2 linked regions of the Ovis aries genome follow. The protein of the gene in region 1 purifies or fractionates together with the protein of each later gene. This does not show direct contact. Links are inferred from orthologs where the notes say so. Each region holds a gene or a part of one and is shown in the gene's direction. Other genes may lie near its edges.

Region 1 (8,028 bases):
ATTTTTAAAATATTAATTTATTTTAATTAGAGGCTAATTACTTTACAACATTGTAGTGTTTGTTTGTTTGTTTTTTGCCAAACATTGACATGAATCAGCCGTGGATGTACATGTATCCCCCATCCTAAGCCTTCCTCCCCCCTCCCTCCCCATCCCATTCCTCTGGGTTGTCCCAGTGCACCGGCTTTGAGTGCCCTGTTTCATGCATTGAACTTGGACTGGTCGTCTATTTCACGTACGGTAATATACATGTTTCAATGCTACTCTCTCAAATCATCCCACCCTCGCCCTCTCCCACAGAGTCCAAAAATCTGTTCTTTATATATGTGTCTCTTGCTGTCTCGCATATAGGGTCATCCTTACCATCTTTCTAAATTCCATATATATGCATTAATATACTATATTGGTGTTTTTCTTTCTGACTTACTTCGCTCTGTATAATAAGCTCCAGTTTCATTCACCTCATTAGAACTGATTCAAATGCATTCTTTTTAATAGCTGAGTAATATTCCACTGTGCATATGTACCACAGCTTTGTTATCCATTCATCTGCTGATGGACATCTAGGTTGCTTCCATGTCCTAGCTATCATAAACAGTGCTGTGATGAAAACTGGTGTAAATGTGCCTCTTTCAGATCTGGTTTCCTTGGTGTGTATGCCCAGCAGTGGGATTGCTGGGTCGTATGGCAATTCTATTTCCAGTTTTTTAAGGAATCTCCACACTGCCCCAATGCTGCTCTTCCTTAACTTTTGCCTCAGCCCAATTAAATTCTTCCCAGATAACCCCCTCAGTATGATTATCCTTTATCCTTCCCATCTCTCCACCTACAACCAGGCCAGTCCCACACAGTGCCCTCATGTCACATGAGCTTTCCTGTAACACAGGAAAAGCTTTCCCTTTGCTTCCCAGGACATAGAGGGGAAGTGGAAACAGGGCTTAGACCTGGAAGATGTGTGATCCAGTTCAGTCGGGCTCTGACTAGATGAGTGACCCCAAACAAGTGATTTAACCTCTGAACTTTGACTTTATCTGCAGAACATAAGGGGTTGTAATGATGCTCATGTGGGATGTTGTAGATACACAGACTTGAAAGTTATAAAACATACAAAAATTGTCGTTGTTGTTGTTGTTTCGTATTTTCAGCATTCCTGCTAGTGAGATGAGAATAGAAGCAGACAATACTAAGGCTATTCTTGCAGGATTCTGGAGCATCCTGCTTTGCGTTTCCTGGCCACAGTCTGCCTAGCCAGCCACATCAATGCTCTTCATTATTCATTCATTCAATAAATACTTATTGAGTGCCCACTGTGTGCCAAGCACTGTTGTACATTCTGGGAACAGAACAACGAAGACAGTAGACTAAATATTCAGCCCTCATAGAGCTTGTATTCTGGTAGGCAGAGGAGAAGCCTGTGGGCCCTGAGGGTAAATACCTACCACCTGCAGAGTGCTGCCCATGCATATCTCTGGCCCTTTGTTACCCCACTGGTGCCAAGCGGGGACAAAAAAGAGAGACAGAGAGGAGAGGAATGCAGGAAAAAGAAGTTGAAAGAATCCAATCATACTAGAATCCAGAAACGGGCCTGGTTTCGTTAAAATTAAGTGTCCATACACCACTTAGCTACCTCAGTTAAGAATGCAAAACAACAAATCTAATTATGAGGAAACATTAGAGAAACCCAATACCAGAACATTCTTTTTTTCTATTTTAATATAACAAAAGGCAAGGAAGCCTGAGGACAAATTAAGAAGACTAAAGAGACAGGAAAAATAAATACAGTACCAAATCTTGACTGCCTTCTATATTGGAGGCTGAGAGGAGAAGACTGCTATAAAGTTCATTACTGGGTCAATCGAAAAAATGGGATGTAGAAGGTATATTAAATTTATTCAAGTTATGTAATAGGATATCCTTATTCTGTGAAAATACAAAGAGAGAGAAAAAAGGAGGCAGAGAGAGAGGAGGGAACAAATGATAAGATGTGAAAATTAATAAGCAGAAACCTCATTTTAAATTGAGTCAGGAGAACAGAAAGGGGAACTCTCACAACCTACCAACAGGTAGAGACTCAACAGGAAGAGACAGCTTTGCATCTCCAATAGAAAGGTTACTACTTTAGTTTCCAGCAGAAGGAAGGAAAATTTTCTCCTTGCTCAGAAACAGCCCAGCCAATAAGAAAGAGACTGTCACAACTGAGACAACGAAAAGCCACACTTTTTGATTCCCAGTTCCCTCTAACTTTGTTTATGACAGTCCCTTCCAAGTCACCCTTCTCCACTAAAAAAGAAAAGTCCTCTGCTTTGTTCTGCAGACTTGCCTGTGGGTTGCCATAGATTGCTCAGCCAGAATTGCAATTCTTTGCTGTTCTCAAGTAAACCCAATTTGCTGATAAAATAACTGGCTATTTTATTGCTTTAGATCAAAAAAGTAAATGGAGCAAATTGTTAGCAGTAGGTGAATTTGAGTAAAGATTACACATCTTCTTTGCACTATCTTTGCAAATTCTCCAAATAAGACTTTTACAAATGTGTCCCCCGAACCCAGACTTTAAGCCCAATCCCTTTTTTAAATTGTTGCATGACCCTGAATGACTCCCTTCCTCTCTCTGGACCTCATTTTCTAGTCCAGATGGTTTCTAAGGTTCTCTCTGACTCTGGCAATCAATGTCCCACAACTCAGGTCGCTTCTAGACAGGGCTTTGGAAAGAAGATATCTCCTCTGTCTCTCAGTCCACCAGTTACTTCACAACTTTATCCCCCATGCACACCCGCCCTCTTTCATCAGCCATAAACTTGCCCTTGCCCATCTCGTCCACCAGCCAGCAGGCCCAGCTACTCTTTCTGAGGGCCTTAGGGCTCATCTGGTAGCCTCCAGCTTCAGTTCACAACAGGCACGTGCATTTATCCCCCAAGAAACTACAGCCCCCCAAATGCTTTGCGGCAATCTCTGGGCCTTCAGTACTACCAAAGACAAAAGGTTTTTCAGCGCGGGTCAACCCCCGCATGGCTTTTTGGGAATTGTAGTTCATCTGCGAAGAGTCTGGGAACAACAGTAAGGCAGCAAGCCACCCTTCCCAGAGTGCATCGCGCTCGTCCTCACCAATCCGAAGCGCGGATCTTGGAAGTAGGGCGGGGACATGGAGGAGCTGTCCGGCGCACGCGCTGTCTGTGGCTGGGGAATTCATGTGGAGGTCAGAGTGGAAGCAGGTGAGAAAGCTGGGGAGCGGCTGTGGTCCGCGTTCTGGCGTCTCTGCAGTCCCCCCTCTGCGTTCCCATTCTCCTCAAGTTTGGGCGGGCGGAGTGTGTGCCTGGGTCCGCCTCGTGTCGGAGGGGAAGGGGGTGAGCCTGGGAGGAGCCAGGAGTTACGTAGAGGTAGGTAGGTGTGTATGGGGGCAGGGTGAGGAATAATCCAGAAGATATTAGGAATGGAAAGGCCGAGGGGTCAGCACTAGGCGTCCTGATCACGGGAATGGAATAGTTAAGTGCACGGATAGAGATGAAGATACTCAGAAGTTGAGGCCTGAGAAGGAGGGGTAGAGGCTGAAGTGGCCGACGACGATGGGGGCGGGGAAAGACAAAGTTTCAGTGCAAGAGCAGATTGTAGAGGTCCGCCGCGCTCCCGTCCACCCCGCTTCTGCCCCCACCCCCACCTGTTCCAGGGCTGTTGCTCGCGGTGCAGCTGTTTAGTACATTTTGGGCCCTGTTATTTCTCGTGATTTGTTGACCCCAGAACGTCATCCAGAGCCTGCTTCCATAATAACAGGTTATTCATTCTTCATACCTGATGTTGAGAAACCGTGGTGAGGAGTTAAGCTGTGTCTTCTAGAATTAGACTTCCAGGTTCTAATCGTCTTTGCCTCCTTCATAGCTGCGTGATCTTAGGCTTTTCTTGTAACTTAACCTCTCTTTGTGCTTCAGTTTCCTCATCTGTGTAGTCCTCTACTTCATAGGGGTTGATGTGAAGATTAAATACACCAATTGATGTTAGAAGACTGCCTATTGTAAAGGTTAGCTGCTACTGTTGTTTTGTTGTTGGAATCACGTTCTTTTCTGAATCAAAATCACACAGAACCAACCCCACAGCCTCTCTTCTGGGGCCTGCAGGTCCAGGAGATGAGAGGCTCTTTTGGTATGGTGCTAAGTTTTCTATGGGTAATCCAACCCATGTCTCCTTCCCATTTGGAACCAATACCCCAGACGCCATTTCTTAAGTAGTAGAAAAAGAAGAAAGTAGCGGAAAAAGAAGATCAGAGGAATTGATTATACACTTTTACAAGCTGCAGAATGTTATTTATGAAATGTCTTTCAGTTGAAGATTTAGAGCTCTCAGGAGTGGGGAAATAAATAGCTAGCTTGAGAAATGCATGTGATGCCTCAGAGAGGGCTTCCTCTGAGGATTGGGGATTGAGTTGTTTTGTTTGTTTTGTTTTTACCCCCTTAGGTGTGAGTGGGTCCAGCCCCAGGAGACATGGCTGCCAAAGTGTTTGAGTCCATTGGCAAGTTTGGGCTTGCCTTAGCCGTTGCAGGAGGCGTGGTGAACTCTGCCTTGTATAATGGTGAGGCACTGAGGGGTGGTGGGTCACTGACCTTCGCCAGAGGATTTTCATTGGTCTGCCTAGCCCATGTGACACTCCTGTTGGCAGCCACTTGCTGTGAATATATTTGACCAAGAAGGCTCACCTGCTGCCATCCTGCACCATATGATGGCCTTGTCATCAGAACCTCTGTCCTTGGAGCCTTAGGTTCTCTCAGAACCTTTCTTTACAAAGAGCCTCCCAACCTAGTTGGGTGTTTCCACTTTCTCTTGTTAAAGTATCAGTATGTCAGGATTTTGCTGGCCAGTTGAAATGGAGAGTCTGTTCTCTTCTGCCTATGTGGGGAGTAACTCAGCAAGGGCTTTAGACCTTTGGTGACCTTGATCTGAGCAAAAACTTTTGCTCTGCTCTAGTTGAGTTGTTCCCAAGAAAATATCTTTGAGATGCATTGCCCAGGTTTTAACAGTGTAACCAGGCTTTAAGCTGTCTTTTGAGGACGTCCCTGGCAGTCCAGTGGTTAAGACTCTGTCCTTCCATTGCAGGGAGTGCAGATTTGCTCTCTGGTTGACGAATTAAGATCCTGTAGGTGGAGCGGTGTGGCCAAAAATTTAAAAAATAAAAACAGCTAGGTTTTCTTCCACTTTCCTATGTGACCTTAGGCAAGTCACCTTCTCCTCCATAGGACGCAGGTTTCTCATTGGTCAAGCAGCAGGATTGAACTAGTTTATGTCTAAGATACTTCCTGCTTTGATATTCTCTTAACTTTTCACTGTTGGAAAGCAGCAATAGATTGACCCATCTCACGCGAGACTCTGACAGCAGGAGGATTACTTTCAGAGTGAAGATACTGGACCAACTATAAAGCCCAAAAAGGCAGAGACAGAAAGTGGCTGATCAGAAAAGCCTGCTCTGCTTCTGTGGCCCAGCTTTATACTCTGATCTTTTTGGCCACCCTGCATGGCTAGACTGTAATCACCATCATTAATTTCTCTCTGAAATTAGCAAGACAGCTCTATAACCCCTTCAGATTTTAGAGAAACCAAGCTGTTGGAAAGAAAAAAATGAGGACTTCCAAATTTTAGGATTGCCATAGGAAGGGTGCTACTTCTGGGAATACTGGGTTAAATTGGAACCAGGATGGACTGAGTTTTAGAAGGAAGTTTGGGGAGCTGGTTCCTAGGAATGTGTTGGTGGGAGTTCACGGGTGGAGTGGTTAATCAGAAAATCAGCAGCCAGTTGTTTCAAGGAGGAAGAATGCTGAGAATAGATCCTGTTACCAAAGTCCTTAGGAGGACACAGGACAGAAAGTGATTGCTTTGTTTCGTAGCTGTTAAGAAGCCTCTGGAGTCCTGAAGTGTGGGAAGACAGAGCAAGAGACTTACTATATAATCAGAAAACACCAGGGGCCTTTCAGACACGATCCTTTTGGTTAAGGGTGAGGGGATTTTTGTGACCCATTGTTATCCTTCATTCCCAGTGGATGCTGGGCACAGAGCTGTCATCTTTGACCGGTTCCGGGGAGTGCAGGACATTGTCGTAGGAGAAGGGACTCACTTCCTCATCCCTTGGGTACAGAAACCAATTATCTTTGACTGCCGCTCTCGACCACGTAATGTGCCAGTAATCACTGGTAGCAAAGGTAAGTCTCATCTGTGGGTCAGGTAAAGTGGAGTGTGTGGAACAGGTGCTGTGGGATCCAGAATGGGTTGAACTTCCCTAAATATTTTTCCTGAAGAGTTTTATGTGGCTACAGAAAAAGAAGTATACAAGGATGCCTGAAGAGACATTATGAATTCAGTTCCAGACCCCTGCAACAAAGCAAATGTTGTAATAAAGTGAGTCACACAAATATTTTTGTTTCCCAGTGCATATAGAATAGAAGTTATGTTTATCCCATACTGTATCCTGTTACAGGTGCAACAGCTCTATCTCTAAAGAAACAGTGTACATACCATGATTAAAAAATACCTTATGGCTAAAAGATGCTAACCATCATCTGAGCCTTCAGTGAATTATAATAGTAACATCACAGATCACCATAGTGAATGTAATAATATTGGAAAGTTTGGAATGTTGTTAAGAGTTGCCAAAATGTGACTCAGAGAGACTTTCTTGGTAGTTTAGAATCTGCCTTGCAATGCAGGGGATACCGGTTCGATCCCCAGTCAGTGAACTAGAGCCCATGCAACTAAGGCTAGAGAGTCCCCGTATTGCAGCAAAAGATCCCATGTGCCACAACTAAGACCCAAAGCAGCTAAGTAAGTATCTTTAAAAATGTGATACAGACATGAAGTGAGCAGGTGCTGTTAGAAAAATGATGGTGGTAAACTTGCTTGATAAAGTGTTGCCCCAGACCTTCAATTTGTAGGAAATACAGTGTATGCGAAGCACAAATAAATGAGCTGTGCCTGTATATTCAAGATACACACACAACTGTATGAATTTAGGGAAATGGGCGGATGTATATCAGTAGTCACATCGCAATCCAGCTTTAAAGAAATCTGAGTGTGCCTCTGCTCTCGCGGTTGGCCCTTCCCATCAGCTCTTGCCCCCGGGGTGACTGTACGCTGATCCAGCCGTTATGTTGCCTTCTCAGCTGGCTTGCCCTTGGCCTTGCTTCTAGACCTGTGTTTCCAGCAGTGTTGGCCCCACACTGTTACCTCCTGGGCCGGGACCCACACCCTGAGCAACTTGGTGTCTGACATGCCACCAACTCCCTGGTTGGAGCCCGAAATGAATTATTGTCACGGTTCTCCCCTCCCTATCGTGCACGCAGAGGTGCACGGCAGTAAATGGAGCGGCAGGTGCTGGCTCGGCTGCAGCCTTTCTGTGCAGGAAGAGGGGATCGCGTGGATGTTGCTGGTCCTTGGCAGATGTTTGCTTTCTATGGTAGTGTCAGGCTTTGTGCTGGTTCGGAGGGTGGGGTACTTCAGCAATGAGTAAAGCTGGAGCCTTTAGGAGTTCGATCTAGCAAGGGAGACAGGCGTGGACAGGCGTTAGGAGTGGGGTGTGGTATGCAGTGTGGAGGGAAGCAGAGAGGAGCTGTGAGGAACGGGCGTCTGTGGTGGTGCTTGAGAGTGAGAAGTGTGTTGGACAGGGTAGGGGACAGGGTATTCTCTAATCTGTCCTGTTTCTCCCAACGAGGGAGAGGACTAGCCTGCTGTAAAGGGTAAAGGGTCTGGCCTGCCTATTATATCAGAGGAAATCAACAGTGGGGTTCATTAAGAAACATCTTCAGTTCAGTTGCTCAGTTGTGTCCAACTCTTTGTGACCCCATGAATCGCAGCACACCAGGCCTCCCTGTCCATCACCATCTCTTGGAGTTCACTCAAACTCACGTCCATCGAATCAGTGATGCCATCCAGCCATCTCATCGTCTGTCATCCCTTTCTCCTCCTGCCCCCAGTCCCTCCCAGCATCAGGGTCTTTTCCAATGAGTCAACTCTTTGCATGAGGTGGCCACAGTACTGGAGTTTCAGCTTTAGCATCAG
Region 2 (7,950 bases), on another chromosome or scaffold:
AGAGCGAAATGTAACAGAACAGTAAATGTGGAGATCCTTGAAACAATAAGAGAGTTTTGGAGTTGAATATGGCAGGCATATCATGCTCAGTGGAAGCAGCAGATGTGGCCAAGGAAAAGCTAAAAAAGAAAAGGGTACATAGGTGATAGTGAGCTAGGTCAGGGTAATTAATATTTGAATAAAAATGCATTCATCAGAATGTCAAGAGTTCAGACTAGAAAGGTTTTGAATTGTATAGTGAAATGCATTCGAAAACCACCTCCCTCTAAACAAAATGCTGTTGATGTTTTGTTTTCACTGTTCACTCTCTCACCAGTAGAGGTAGAGGATTGGCTATCACTTTCAGAGAACACACTCTATCATTGAAACTGCACAGCAAGGTCATTTCTGTATCCAGCTGCATTTCTATTATAATCAACTAATGAGAAACAAGTGGCCTCTCCAGAACACTGGTCAAAGATAGCCCCCAGGATCAACAAAGCTGGAGTGAAAATTGCTCTTCTCTGAACATGTGCTGTGTGTGCTCATCACTTTGGATTGCTCGGGTTCATGGAAAGACTAATGAATTGCAAAGTATACTTAGAGGAAGAACCTGACATGCCCAGAGGAATCTTAGAGTTGGGTCCTTTAACAGGCAGATCTGGAGAAGGCGGGAGAGGGCAAGAAATTGAGTGGCATGCCATCTATGTTTTCAGTGTGCTGGGTACCTAGGGCTCAGCTACAGTGAGTATTTTCAACAGTTATTTCTGTAAACATGGCTGTGATGACTTAGACATAGGATTTGTGAGGACACCTTCAGCTTCTTTTCTGAATCTGAGGAAGGGCATTTAAGCTAACAAGTAGGTTTTTAAGGACATGTGTGGCAAACGTTTTCCCAGTGCAGAGATTAAGGGAGTCAACAAGCCCTTGTCTCTTGACGACAATGGGTGTGTCAATCTAGTTCTGTTGATTCCTCTAAACTTTTCTGGAGATTAGCAATCCACTCAATGCAAGAGTGCTTTACCTGGGCCCAGAGACCCACATACCAATCTAGTTCACACAACCTCTTAACCTTAACGATATACCCTCTATGCTTTGGCTTTTGGCTCAAATAATTTCCTAACCCTCCAGCCCAGTCCTTTTGAACGCTCCTCCAGTTTCCTCTGGCTTCACCAGCGGTCCCATCACTTCATGGCAAATAGATGGGGAAACAGTGGAAACAGTGGCTGACTTTACTTTTCTGGGCTCTAAAATCACTGCAGATGGTGATTGCAGCCATGAAATTAAAAGACACTTACTCCTTGGAAGGAAAGTTATGACCAAACTAGAAAGCATATTAAAAAGCAGAGACATCACTTTGCCAACAAAGGTCTGTCTAGTCAAGGCTATGGTTTTTCCAGTGGTCATGTTTGGATGTGAGAGTTGGACTATAAAGAAAGCTGAGCGCTGAAGAACTGATGCTTTTGAACTGTAGTGTTGGAGAAGACTCTTGAGAGTCCCTTGGATTGCAAGGAGATCCAACCAGTCCATCCTAAAGGAGATCAGTCCTGGGTGTTCACTGGAAGGACTGATGTTGAAGCTGAAAGTCCAATACTTTGGCCACCTCATGTGAAGAGCTGACTCATTGGAAAAGACCCTGATGCTGGGAAAGATCGAGGGCAGGAGGAGAAGGGGACGATAGAGGATGAGATGGTTGGATGGCATCACCGACTCGATGGACATGGGTTTGGGTGGACTCCAGGAGTTGGTGATGGACAGGGAGGCCTGGCATGCTGCGGTTCATGGGGTCGCAAAGAGTCGGACACGACTGAGTGACTGAACTGACCTGAACAGAACACCGGCGAAGTTCCAGGCCAGGGCCAGACTTAGGGTGAGGAGAGTGAGGTACTTGGCCGGGCGCCAAATGTTAGCGGACACCAAACAACTCAGGAATCAAAATGAACGATTCTTTTTAATGCACCATTTTAAAAATCCAAAGGAATGCAAAAATCCTTGATGAACATTTCAAATTTCTGAATAAAGACAGGCTCCCTTCTTGCACTGGCAGGGCCCTGCCTCACTTGCCTCACCATCACCCTAGCCCTGGGGCTCCAAGTAAACTTGATTTACAAAAACAGGCGACCGACCAGCGCGCCACAATTTATCTATATGAATTTTTAAAATATTGCATTCAATATTATTTCTCTTGACAACCAAATTTGGGTAGCGAGGGGGGGTATGTTTTTTGTTGGTTCTTTAGGGTCCCCTTAAATACTGCGCCTCACCCTGGTCCAGGCACACCGTGACCTCTCCCCCTCCGCGCCCCGGAGCCTCCCCTGGGGTCCCGCGTCCGGGTCAGGTACTCTGGGGCCGCCGCCTCCTCGGGCCGGGTCAGGTGCTGCGGACGAGCCCGGGCAGCGCGGAGGGCGGTCCCTGCCACACTCCACGGCTCCTCCCTCCGCGCGCTCAGCCACTCAGCGGCCCCGCCGCCCTGCGCGCCGGGGCTCAGGGCCCGCCCCCGACGCCGGCCGCCCAGGCGCCGGCTCCCCCTATATAAATCAGCCATTTGCTTCGCTCCGCCCCAGAGCCCCGGAGTCCAAGCCGGTTCCTCGTCGATCTTTCAGTCGTCCGCTTACTCTTTCCTTCCAAGATGACAGATGCCGCCGTGTCCTTCGCCAAGGACTTCCTGGCAGGTGGAGTGGCGGCGGCCATCTCCAAGACCGCGGTCGCGCCCATCGAGCGGGTGAAGCTGCTGCTGCAGGTATGTCTCGGAATCCGAGAGCCTGACCAGGAAGTGGGGGGAGGGGCCGCGCGGGAAGCGGTGGTCCGGGGCCTGGGGGGAACCAGCCCTCGAGATCTGCCCAGGGAAGTGGCAGCGTGGGAGCAGGGGTGGCCGCGGGGTAGGACCAAAAAAGGCAGACTTGAGAGAGGTGTTTTAGTGATGTGAACTTTAGGATCTCGGGAAGGGTCGGGGGCGGAGGGTGGGCGGAGGAAGACCAGGGCCTGGGCATCCCAGAGGCAGCGAACTCGGATGGGGCAGCCCAGGAGTGACTGGCTCCCGGGCCTTGTGTCAAGGGCGAAGACGCTGAAAAGAGGGACACCTGCCTGTACCGAGGACCTCAGGGTCGTGGCAAGGAGATAACAGCCTGGGGGAGGCCACGCGGTCGGTGGAGCGGCCTCGCAGCCGGCAGCCGCGCTCAGACCGGCCGGGCCGGAAGCCGGCGCCGGGAAGCGCGTGTCCCTTGTGCGTCTGCCCCCGCGCGGCCGCTGGCGCGTTCCCGCGGCCTGGCGGCGCGCTCTGCTACTCCGGCTCTAGAGGGCGCGCCCGCACAGGCTGACGGGTGGTGGCCCTCAGGTCACCTCCAGGAGAGGGGGACCCAAGCGGGAGGGAAGCTGCTCCCAGGGACCTTAGGCGAAGACCACGGTCACCAGGGTGACCGCGCCTGATGTGGGACGCGCCCTAATGTCTCTGATCCAGGGTCTGAGATAATGACCTTTCTCCCAGGTCTAAAGGTCACAGCTCCGCTTGAGGGTGGCACCTCCTCACCCAGAGGGGTGGAGGCTTAATGCTTCTAGCTGTGACAGCGGCAGAAGGTTAGGAGGGTCCCACCTGTGGGATCTAGAAGGCCAGACTTGGGGCAGGTGGGAGCCAGCTAACCTTTAAGGGTGTCCGTTGAGATGCTATATTCTCTTCCCTTCTTGTGATTATCACTCTTTCTGTTGGCCTCCTTGTCTGTCAGGTGCAGCATGCCAGCAAGCAAATCACTGCAGATAAGCAGTACAAGGGCATCATAGACTGCGTGGTTCGTATCCCCAAGGAGCAGGGAGTCCTGTCCTTCTGGCGTGGTAACCTGGCCAATGTGATCAGATACTTCCCCACCCAGGCTCTCAACTTTGCCTTCAAAGATAAATACAAGCAGATCTTCCTGGGTGGTGTGGATAAGAGGACCCAGTTTTGGCGCTACTTTGCAGGAAATCTGGCATCAGGTGGTGCCGCCGGGGCCACGTCCCTGTGTTTCGTGTACCCTCTCGACTTTGCCCGTACCCGTCTAGCAGCCGACGTGGGCAAAGCTGGAGCTGAAAGGGAATTCAGAGGCCTCGGTGACTGCCTGGTTAAGATCTACAAATCTGACGGGATTAGAGGCCTGTACCAAGGCTTTAACGTGTCTGTGCAGGGTATTATCATCTACCGAGCTGCCTACTTCGGTATATATGACACTGCGAAGGGTAAGTTTGCCCGTGGGCTTCAGAACTGTCCATGTGAGAACTTTTAAAGGGTTATCTGAAGGCAGCCAGTGTCACCCCGTACAGCCCTTTGTGTACAGAGATGTTGGGGGTGGGGGACATGGAAAACAAGTCAGGAAGACTCTGCTTACTGGTAAAAGTGTCTCTCTTCTATTCTCAGGAATGCTTCCAGATCCCAAGAACACTCATATCTTCATCAGCTGGATGATCGCACAGTCAGTCACGGCGGTTGCTGGGTTGACTTCCTATCCGTTCGACACTGTGCGTCGCCGCATGATGATGCAGTCAGGGCGCAAAGGAAGTAAGTTCCACTGGAGCAAAAGATACAGATGTGGGCATGGCACATGGGCACAGACCAGCCATGCCTGCCTTTGAAAATGGCAGTCTGTTGAGATCCCAGGTGGGGTTGATTGGTCTGTGTCCACTGCACAGTCTCCTTTCAGCAGGCCCTTTGGGTGCCTATGCCCAAGGGGGCTTGCCTGGTGTTAGAGGTTAAGGCCAGCAGGTTGTCTGCACCTCCCCGTTGTCCTTTAGTCACCATATTAAGATTGCAGTATTGGCCACACTAATGTGTAAATGTTGGATTTTTTAAAACTGACAATAGCTCTTAGAGGTGGGGCTCTGGGTTAGTCTGGTTAAACTTAAGGACTTTTCACCTCAGCCTCGGGTCACCAACCCTTTGTCTTTGTCCTTTGCAGCTGATATCATGTACACAGGCACGCTTGACTGCTGGAGGAAGATTGCTCGTGACGAAGGAGCCAAAGCCTTTTTCAAAGGCGCGTGGTCCAATGTTCTCAGAGGCATGGGCGGGGCTTTTGTGCTTGTCCTGTATGATGAAATCAAGAAGTTCACCTAAGTTATTTCCTAGTTTTTCTCCTGTGACTAGGCATGTTGTATTATATAACATATCTTGAGCATTCCTGACAGACTGTTAGCTGTCTATTTATCTATGGCAACTATTTACTGGTTGAAAATGGGAAGCAATAATATTCACCTGACCAGTTTTCTCTTAAAGCCATTTCCATGATGACGATGGGACCCAGTTTTTTATTTCAGTCACTCCTGGCAAATAACAAATTTGAAGAAATAAAAAATACCTGGAATAGTTTTGTTTGTGGTTTATTTTCATTTGAAAGTACATTAGATAATTTAGTAAGGGCTATGTTTGGGTAAATGCTGCAGTATATCCTGAGGTGATGAGCTTTCTTCTAAAACCAATCTTCAGCCATCCACTTAGCAAAGAACACCTTGGCTGTGTGACCCATCGACATTCCAGACCCAGAGCAACCGAAAACTGTTGGTCCATTGCCTGTGGACAGTGACAGCTAATGAGCTTTCTCTGAAAAGCACTCTGGAACCACCTTTCCTATCTTGTGCTTATTAATGAAATACTAGCTGAATTTTACACTTGAATTCCATCTCATTTCATGATGAAATTCATTCCTCCATGAGTTTCATGTCATTTAAACAAAAGTGTTGTGAAAGTGAAGTCGCTCAGTCGTGTCCAACTCTTTGCGACCCCATAGACTGTAGCCTACCAGGCTCCTCTGTCCATGGGATTTTCCAGGCAATAGTACTGGAGTGGATTGCCATTTCCTTCAGGGGATTTTCCTGACCCAGGGATCAAACCCAGGCCTATATTGCAGGTGGATTCTTTACTGTCAGCCACCAGGGAAGCCCATAAGGTGGTAACAGCAATTTTTGTCCAATTGCCTTCCCTCCTCCATCTTTACCTGTCTCAAGTCAATCTAATCCTGTTCAAAGCAGAGGATTAGAACTGGCATAGTTAGGCAGTGCTGAGATGGCAATACTGTTAAAGATTATGGAGAGAGCTGCCAAGAACCCAAATCTCACTACAAAAAGGAAACTGCATCTACATTTTGGCTGGCATTTTAATCAGCCCAGTTAATGGAGGATGCGTGTTTCTTTTGGAAGAGTCCTTCCTTGGGATCCACATGAGAGTGTGTTTGCAATTTCTGCAGCTCCTGTAGCCTCAGAAATACAGGGATTTTACCTAAAACATGAGGTTTGTAGGAAGCACCATGGCTGGCAAACCACAACATTCAAAGTAGAAAATGATAGGTAATCCACTTGCACAGGTGAAAGTTCCTGAGGAATGCGACATAACGCTAGCATGTTTATCTGCCACTCATAGATAGGGTCTGCATGGCAGGTGTTATTGCCCACAGGATCCTAGTGTTTTTTGTTATGTGCCACCTGGCCAAGCACCTGAGTCAACACAATGTACACATACCAAGTTATATACCTTAAATATACACAATGTTTTTATATAGTGGATTTATCCCTTACCTTCAGTGATACTGACAATAAAAAATATCTTAGTAAAGTTGCTAAAAAAAAAAAACCACAAGACTACTGGTATCAAGCCTGGATTCTGCCACAACTGTGCTGTTGGATAAGTTAATTTCAAGCCTCAGTTTTCCTCATCTATAAAATGAGGATACTAATAATGCCTGCCTTTGAGAGTTGTTTCAAGGATTAAAGGAGATTCCATTTCGCTCCCTGGGTCAGGAAGATTCCCTGGAGAAGGAAATGGCAACCCACTCCAATATTCTTGCCTGGAGAATTCCATGGACAGAGGAGCCGGGTGGGCTACAGTCCAAGGGGTCACAAAGAGTTGTACGTGACTGAGTGAATACCACCACATCTACCATAGAACATACATAACGTTGTAAGTGGTAACTATGATAATTATTAACAGACAGTTAAGGTTTCAGGGGCTCCAAAATCAGAAGTACCTGGATTTGAATCCCAGCTCTGCTGCTTACTTAACTGTATGGCCTTGGGCAAGTCACTTATCCTAGGTCTCAGTTTCTTCATCTGTAAAATGGGGATATAACAGTGCTAGCCATATTTCCTTGGAGTCTTGGGAGTGAGAGTTAAATAACATAAAGCATGTAAGGCAATCAATGTAGTGCCCGGCATCTAGTAAGCTCTCTGATGTGAGTTTTTCATAATTAGACATCCATTTTGTGGAATGAAGATCTGCCTAAGCAGAGAACTACTTAAGAATGAACTCAAACTCACTTCTCTTTTCTCTGCAACAGCTTAGATATACTATTTTGTGTAGGATTTATATAAAATAAACTTCAGATCGGGTCTTTTTTCAGAGAATTTGATCCTGAAAGGGGATAAGAGGCTCTTCACTTAGGGCTGCAAACCATAATACAAGAGAACCCAAGTCCCCTTTATGGTTATTACAATAGATGTGGGCTCACTGAGCTGGCAGCTATTAAAATAAACCTAGGACCAAGCGTTAATGATCAGAAAGAAAGAAGTGGTGCTTCCTACAATTGGGTGGCTGACATAGATGAGGTGTGTTTTTTTCTCCCCCTCTTTCTATTCTTGTTCAATGATTTTTGAAATTTAATTTAAAGACAAAGTGGTTTTAATCTCTCCAAGCTGTGCAGGATAGTGCTATAGAATTCATTATGTCCATTATGCTCATGCGAACATTGATAGTACACAATCTTAGCAACCCCCTAATTTATGCCATTGTTTTGTTACTATTCAAAGCCTAACAGAATCTGTGAAGCCCGATTCCAGGTGAGAGAGCCAGTATACAGGTCAGCTTGCACACAGCCTCGCTCTCCATTCCAGGGGCCACTCGGCTCAGTCACCAGAGGCAGTGTTCCGGGTGCTCCGACCGCCACCGCCGGATAAAGAAACCAGGGGTGTCTTCCCACAGGGGCAGTTGTCGTGGACGGTAAGTCATTTAAGCCATTA

Evidence for each region. Proteins that work in one complex are often made in the same cells at the same time.
Region 2: the proteins of PHB1 (region 1) and SLC25A5 purify together in Homo sapiens (affinity purification with mass spectrometry; 3 studies listed by BioGRID and IntAct, with this or other methods). This does not show direct contact. The link is inferred for Ovis aries from reciprocal best matches to the Homo sapiens genes PHB1 and SLC25A5.

Annotation. Positions count from the first base shown.
Region 1 is NC_056064.1:36,925,129-36,933,156, forward strand, and holds the start of PHB1 (prohibitin 1), read left to right. Parts: upstream 1-3,176; 5' UTR 3,177-3,374; intron 3,375-3,920; exon of another isoform or gene 3,921-4,009; intron 4,010-4,443; 5' UTR 4,444-4,470; coding exon 4,471-4,558; intron 4,559-6,014; coding exon 6,015-6,176; intron 6,177-6,182; exon of another isoform or gene 6,183-6,372; intron 6,373-8,028.
Region 2 is NC_056080.1:114,992,619-115,000,568, reverse strand, and holds SLC25A5 (ADP/ATP translocase 2), read left to right. Parts: upstream 1-2,608; coding exon 2,609-2,719; intron 2,720-3,698; coding exon 3,699-4,185; intron 4,186-4,363; coding exon 4,364-4,504; intron 4,505-4,901; coding exon 4,902-5,059; downstream 5,060-7,950.